Danio rerio: one gene and its partner. The protein of the gene in region 1 interacts with the protein of each later gene in a pairwise test. Links are inferred from orthologs where the notes say so. Each region holds a gene or a part of one and is shown on either strand. Other genes may lie near its edges.

Region 1 (3,998 bases):
AAGGAGAAAAGCTATGAGGCTGATTTCTGGAGGCGAGACGTGCGGAAGGAGAGCAGCGGTCAGACGCAGTGGTCCGATCACGGCTCCAGCAGCAGCAGCAGCATCAGTCAGCCCTCCGAGACCAGCGGCAGAACCCTGCGCAGAACCGGACCCATCAAAAAACCTGTGCTCAAGCCTCTGAAGGTGCGATCCAAATGTCAATAGTGCAGTTGTTCAATTCAAGTTTTTCTCTAGAGCTTTTCACAATGATTACAACAAACAAACATTGTCAATAATGGCAATATTTGATATTTTATAGACATTTATTTATATCAGGAGAGACTTTTAAAGGCTCATATATTTACAGCTTTTGTACAAATGTGTGTAAATATATGTATTTATTCAGTTTTTATATTATGGTAATATTAAACACTTTTGTTTAGTATAGAATAGGTTATATACAGCTTGTTTAAGCGTTATCTGTTTTTGCCATGAAATACTCAGAGAATATATGGAAATAAACTCTCTCTTCCTGCAGGTGGAGGATAAAGAGAATGAGAAGCCCAAAGCGGAGCCTGAGGAGAAGCCGGTCCCCTACAGGTACGCTTATGATGATGGATTTAAATGGTTCAGATCTTATCTTGAAGGTAGAGGTTACCATGTCAGTATAGGTGACCATAGGTCGAGGTGGACACGTGGAGTCCCTCAAGGCTCGATTCTGGCACCTCCTGCTGTTCAACCTTTACATGCTCCCTCTGAGCCAAATAATGAGACAGAACCAAATCTCTTACCACAGCTCTGCTGATGACACTCAGATCTACCTAGCCTTACTGCCTAATGACTACAGCCCCACTGGCACCCTCTGCCAGTGCATTGATGAAATTAACAGTTGGATGTGCCAAAACTGTCTTCAGTTAAACAAAGAGAAAACTGAAGCCATTGCGTTTGGGAACAGAGATGAGCTTCTCAAGGTGAATGCGTACCTTGGCTCTAAAGGTCAAACAGCAAATAATAAGGTCAAGAATCTTGGTGTGAGTCTGCAGTCAGATCAGAGTTTCAGTAGTCATGTCAGAGCAGTCAGTAAATCAGCACACTATCATCTCACACACACTGCTGGAGTCAGATGCTGTGTCTCCAGTGACGACTCGGTGATGCTTTTATCAGCAGCAGGGTGGATTACTGTCACTGGCCTTCCCAAACACACAGTCAAGACAGTTGCAGGTTATCCAGAACAGGATTCTGACCAGAAAGGGGAAATCAGCGCACATCACAGCTGTCCTCAGGTCTCTACACTGACTCCGTTACGTTCAGAATAGAGTTTACAGTATTATTACTGCTCTATACATCACTGAATGGCCTAGCAGCTCAATACATTACAGATATGCTGACTGAACACACACCTAACAGATCAGTCAGATCATCAGGATCATATACACTAGAAACTCCAAGAGTTCAGTCAGAGCAGGGTGAATGGGCCTTCAGCTGCTAACAGCGCCCCCTGCTGCTGGAATCAGCCTCCAGAAATGATCAGATGTGCTCCAACATTAGGCTCATTCACATCAGGACTGAACACACATCTGTAGCTGAGCCTTTACTGAATGAGCCCTGTGCTGTGGCTCACTCTTTTATAACCTGTTTAACACATTTAATCTGTTTTTAATTACTGTTATTATTTGCTTGTCTTTTTCATTCCTGTTTATGTAAAACACTACTAATTGCCACTGTGTATGAAATGTGCTATATTAATAAACTTGCCTTGCCTTGTTGCGATTTAATAGCTTAAGCTTTTATCATGATATACAGTATTATCACGGTATTGACACAGTCTGCCAGAATTTGTATAATTACAAAAAATATATTGTGTATTGTTAGTGTTATTGCATTTAATCAAGCAATTGTGACATAATGAGATTACAACTTTGTTTTAAATGCGTTATCATGCATTAAATAAGAAATTAACATCAGCTAAGATTAATAAAAGCTGTTGTAGTTTTAATGGGGATTTTAATGCTAACTATTGGAGCCTTATTATATAAAAATAGTTAACATTTAAAACCCTGTAAAATGGGGCTGTGTGCAATATAATGATATATATCATATGGACAAGATAAACCGTTTCATATTACGCTCTATCATTTATTCCATATTATTATTGTTTTATGGTAATACTTTTTCATAAGCACAATACTCAAACCGCAGAGCTGCAATCGTTTGTATTGTATTTAGCGATTATTTTTGTTGATTTATTATATTTTATTAATATTTATAGTAGATTTCTACAATTATAATCAAACATGAGTGAGGACATTTCAGAGTATACGCTTGATTTAAGCGTTCAATGATGCACTCGAATAAATTATGAAAAATCCTTCGCGTAAGCAGTGTATTTTGTGATATCGTTATACTAACGATAGACTGTTTAATTTGTCCCTATGTTGTATGTTGTAATATTGTACACAGCCCTATTATTCACAGTATTTTAAAGTGCTCATGATATCAATATATTTATTATTACGATTTATTGAATGTCAAACTCTGCCCCCTACAGGCTGGAGAAGGAGGTGATCACCAATGTGTACGACCTGAAGAAAGACGCTCCGCACGTTTCAAACAGACACTCCAGCAGCGTCGAAGACAAACAAGCAGACGCTCTGAAGATGGAGAAAACCAGCGCGTTATCTGAAGAGCTCCACAAGGAGAGCTGCTGGGAGAAATCCCAATCCGACTGCTCCGACAGCAGAGATCCGACCGCTCCGAGGCGCAACAACTGGATCTTCATTGATGAGGAGCAGGCGTTCGCTGGAGCACGCGGTCGAGGACGGGGACGTGGCTTTCGGGAGTTTAATTCTCGCGGAGGCGGAGCTCGTGGAGGACGCAGCGACACTAATAGAGGAGCGTACAATAATAACAACAACAACACGGGCGCTCAGAGACTCACACGAGGACGCGGAAACCGAGTGTTTAGAGGGGACGATCTGCAGAGGGGAAAACCGCGCAGACGAAACGTCAGCGAAACGCACAGCGAAACCTCCGAGTACGAAGAGCAGCCCAAACGTCCTCGGCAGAAGGTGTCGGAGAACGGCGGAGAAGCGTCAGGAGAGGTTAAAAAAGCCGACAGGGAATCCTGGAGATCCAATAAAGTCTACACTGACGATCAAAGCGAGAAACCCAAATCTAGAGTGTTCGGGCGTTCGTTCCCGCCGCGCCTCAATGCCGCGTATAATCGCGGATTCACCGGAACCAGAGATATTTCAACGTGGAGAGGAAGAGGAACGCAATTCGGGAGTTCCTCCAGTCAGGAAAACGGCTACAATTTCGTTGCGGACTCTTATTCGAAGCGCACCGAGCCGCTGAAGTATCCTGCTAAATTCACGGGCACGTTTGCGGAGAACGGCGTGGAGGATCGTGACGGAGGATATTATGTTGATGATAATCCGGATAATCGTCCGCTGAGGAGAAGGCGTCCACCACGGCAGGATAAACCTCCACGGTTCCGCCGTCTGCGTCAGGAGCGGGACGGAGCGGGAGCCTGGAGTAATGATGACTACGTGAACGGAGAGTTTCCCAATCAGTGGCCGAGCAGAGCGAAGAGTGCGGAGGAGCACTGGCAGAATCACTACCCTGGAGGACGCTCGCAGGTACGGCTGTGGCGGATTTAGATGTTCTTGTTGTGACTTATTTGTTAGTTTTTATCATGGTGGCCAGATTATTATAATATAGACCAAGGATCGAGGTTGGACCGAGTTTGGGCAGGACCGAGTTTGGGCAGCCCTGATATAGACTATAGGGATCCTCTGATTAATTGGCCAGATATCGGTATCAGCCGATAATCACATTTCATGACTCGATTGATCAGGCTGATCTCATGAGCCAATCACAAGTGTTTGTTTACAAGTTTACACGCAGGGGACGATGTATCCGGGTTAGGCGCTCAGCTCGAGCAGTGTTTCCAATTTGCACTATAACTCATTTCTTTACAATTCTTTAATCTGTTTTCTTTGTGTAAAGCTGCTTCTGAC
Region 2 (3,998 bases), on another chromosome or scaffold:
AGGTAGTGCTGTCCCCTCACAGCAAGAAGGTCGCTGGTTCAAGCCTTGGCTCAGTTGACGTTTCTGTGTGGAGTTTGCATGTTCTCCCTGCTTTCGTGTGGGTTTACTACGGGTGCTCCGGTTTCCCCCACATTCCAAAGACATGCGGTACAGGTGAATTGGGTAGGCTAAATTGTCCGTAGTGTATGTGTGTGTGTGTGTGTGTGTGTGTGTGTGTGTGTGTGTGAATATGTGTGTGGATGTTTCCCAGAGATGGGTTGGGGCTGGAAGGGCATCCACTGCAAAAAAACTTGCTGGATAAGTTGGCTGTTCATTCCGCTGTGATGACCCCGCATTAATAAAGGGGCTAAGCTGACAAAAAAATTAATGAATATTTGAATCATTATAGCTAGGGATGTAATAAAAACAACATTTTAACTTCCGATACAATGTCGATATTGCAACCATCAGTACAAACCGATACCGATATAAATCCGATATCAGCACAAATTATGAATACTTTACTTTTACCCATTTCATTGAGTCGAATGTATGAAAGGCTAGATCAGGGATCACCAACCCTGTTCCTGGAGAGCTACCTTCCTGCAGAATTCAGTCCCAACCCTGATCAAACACACCTGAACCAATTAATAGTACCTAAAGCAGCACTTGATAATTACAAACAGGTGTGTTTGGTCAGGGTTGCAACTGAAATGCAACCCTGTTTATTCATTTGTAGGGGGGTGTGCTCGTATATGCTGAGCACTGTATGTTTATGAGAATTTAAAACATTGAGTGTTACTCAAATTTTATTTAGTGTCATATCTATTGTCCTTTATCCTGATTAATCGTCTAATGAAATGTTTGGTTGCATTTTTTGTTACTAATTCTAATGTCTGTATTTGTGGTATTTCCCCCAGAATAACAGTTACCAATCCATGACCGACCCATACCTGTCTAGCTACTACGCCCCCTCAATTGGGTTCCCGTACCCCCTCAGCGAGGCTCCCTGGTCCACAGGTGGAGACCCGCCGATCCCATACCTCACTCCGTATGCCCCCCTCAGCAATGGAGACCATCACTTCATGCATGACACTGTGTTTGGACAGCCGGGGGGTCTGGGCAGTAGCATTTATCCACACCGCTTTAACTTTTTCCCCGAAAACCCTGCGTTTTCTGCCTGGGGTACGAGTGGCTCCCAGGGCCAGCAGACTCAGAGTTCTGCATATGGGGGCAGCTACAGTTACCCGCCCAGTTCTTTAGGTGGAACCCTGGTGCCAGACGGGCAAACAGGCTTCCCTAGTGACACCCTGAATAAGGCACCAGGTATGAATAGCTTGGAGCAGGGCATGGTGGGGCTGAAGATCGGTGGTGATGTGACTGGAGGTGGTTCCGGAGTTAAGACGGTGGGCTCCGTGATTGGAGGAGGGCCGGTGGCTGCGGCGGTGGCCACGGGTAATGGTGGGACTCCTATTGGACTGCCGCCCCCTAAGCCCACATCTTGGGCAGCCATTGCTAGCAAACCGGCCAAGCCTCAGCAACTGAAGGTGAAGAGTAAGCCAGGGATGCCCATGGCTGGAGGCACCCTGCCTCCGCCGCCCATCAAACACAACATGGACATTGGCACTTGGGATAATAAGGGGCCTGTGACCAAAGTGGCATCATCATTGCCACCTCACCACCACCACCAGCAGCAGCCTCCCCTCCACTCCCAGGGTCACCTTCCACCTCACCCTCATGGACTGCCACCCCCACCTCAGCCCCCAATGCCGTCTGCACAATCACTTGCCCAGCAGATGGCCATGCAGGGCCCACCCCCTCCGCAGCCTTACCAGAACCACGCCCCTGCTCCTCCCCCGCAAACTCGGTGGGTTGCCCCACGCAATCGCAACCCTGGTTATGGTGGTGGAGGAAGCGTGGACAGCAGTGGCTCCTCGAGTGGTGGAGGGGTCGGCAATGGAGGCGGAGGTGGCCCACCGGGCTCCGGCGCCATCGAGTCCCATCCCGTCTTAGAAAAGCTGCGTGCGGCACACAGCTACAACCCCAAGGAGTTCGATTGGAACCTGAAAAATGGCCGGGTGTTCATCATTAAGAGCTACTCTGAGGACGACATCCATCGCTCCATCAAGTACTCCATCTGGTGCAGCACGGAACATGGAAACAAGCGGCTGGATTCTGCGTTTCGTGCCATCAACGGCAAAGGTCCTGTCTACCTGCTGTTCAGCGTCAACGGCAGCGGACACTTCTGTGGCGTGGCGGAGATGCGTTCGCCTGTTGACTACGGCACCAGTGCCGGTGTTTGGGCGCAGGACAAGTGGAAGGGCAAATTTGATGTGGACTGGCTGTTTGTTAAAGACGTGCCCAACAGTCAGCTCAGGCACATCCGCCTGGAGAACAATGACAACAAGCCCGTGACCAACTCGCGTGACACACAGGAGGTGCCTCTGGAAAAGGCCAAGCAGGTGCTGAAGATCATCGCTACCTACAAACACACAACCTCCATCTTCGATGACTTCTCACATTACGAGAAACGGCAGGAGGAGGAAGAGGTGGTAAGAAAGGTATTTTGCATGCAACGGTCTGTTCTGCTGATCTTCATTGCATTGTTGAAGCTTATGTGAAATCAACATTAACAATGTTTGTTTTGCTAGCATACATTATTATGCTTTATGTGAACAGTTAATCCGTGCAAGTTCATCTTCAAAGTCTGACCATTTGCTTCTGTCTTTGGACTAGCAGTCCTACACTGTTAGGATCACTCTTTACTAGGGCTGGGCGAAAAATTGATTTTATGAATTAACTTGAATGTGCAGTTTACATCGAGTTGTTGAAATGAAATCAGTTATCACTCTAGCTCATTCAACCCTCTCCTTTGGGTTTTCAGAGTTCCCCGTCAGTTTGCCATAAGAACACATTAACAACATGGCAGCGAGTAGGGAAGGACTTGGAGATATATTTCACTCTATGAAATGAAAAAGTATATGGCAATACAAGCACACCTGCCTAAAAATGGCATTATTCAGGGCTCTGTCTTGCATTCACTATGAAACACAGACCTTTGAACCTGCTCTCACACCACACATTGTGCTTCTTGTGGAAGTAATTGATATTTCTCAATAAGAAGTAATCTATTACAATTAATGCATAAGATGTGCATACGAATGCAACTGTTACCTATCTGATGTTGAAATTCAACGTTGCTGTTTTTGGGTTAATGACTCTACCCAGCCGCAGAGACGTTCATTACTAGGTATGGTAAATATCAACACTGTGACAAAACTCGCACAGTGCATCAGTCTACCAGAGGCAGTAGCCTGATGCAAATAAAAGCAATAAAACGTAACCCACTAGCCTAGCGTGAGTAATTTATATGAACTTATTTAACACAAAATAAGCATGAATAAACCTCCGAACCAACCATGAAACCTACCTGAACCTCTGTTTATGTTGAAATAAACAGTAGCACAATCACTATGAGTTTACCTTCTCTGTAATTTTATAACATTTTCAAATTTATATTATTATTAAAATGTATGCAGTCGTAAATAGATCTTGTTAAATTGGATTTTTAAATGACGCTAGCAAAGATTCTTGAGGGAGAGTTTTTTCTTTAGCATTTTTAAATATCCTATTATTATTATTATGTAATTATGATACGCGCAAGTAATTATATAGGTTAACAACTTTCAGCTCCACATTTTTTTAGTGGGGGAAAATTGTACATAAATCAAAAAAAAATTGTGTGTGGGGGAAAAGCATTTTTTTTAAAGGCCATATCACCCAGCTCTACTGTTCACCTTAGCCACATTCGTCTTACCGTTACTAGTAGTGAATGATGCACAAAAAAAACCTGTTATGTGATCAATATTCAATTTCTTTTGAATGTACATTAGGATGCTGAAATAAGTGTTAGCAACTAGAAATTGAAAAATAAAGCTTTGTTTTAAAATCTTTTAAAGCTTAGAGAAGCCTATGCAGCAGTAGTCAACTTTTTTGGCTTAAGATCCCTTACATTGGCT

The links.
Region 2: the proteins of prrc2b (region 1) and ythdf1 interact in a two-hybrid assay, tested with the Homo sapiens proteins (2 studies listed by BioGRID, with this or other methods). The link is inferred for Danio rerio from reciprocal best matches to the Homo sapiens genes PRRC2B and YTHDF1.

Annotation. Positions count from the first base shown.
Region 1 is NC_133180.1:78,403,604-78,407,601, reverse strand, and holds part of prrc2b (protein PRRC2B), read left to right. Parts: coding exon 1-183; intron 184-517; coding exon 518-579; intron 580-2,527; coding exon 2,528-3,617; intron 3,618-3,998.
Region 2 is NC_133183.1:25,000,703-25,004,700, forward strand, and holds part of ythdf1 (YTH domain-containing family protein 1), read left to right. Parts: intron 1-899; coding exon 900-2,540; intron 2,541-3,998.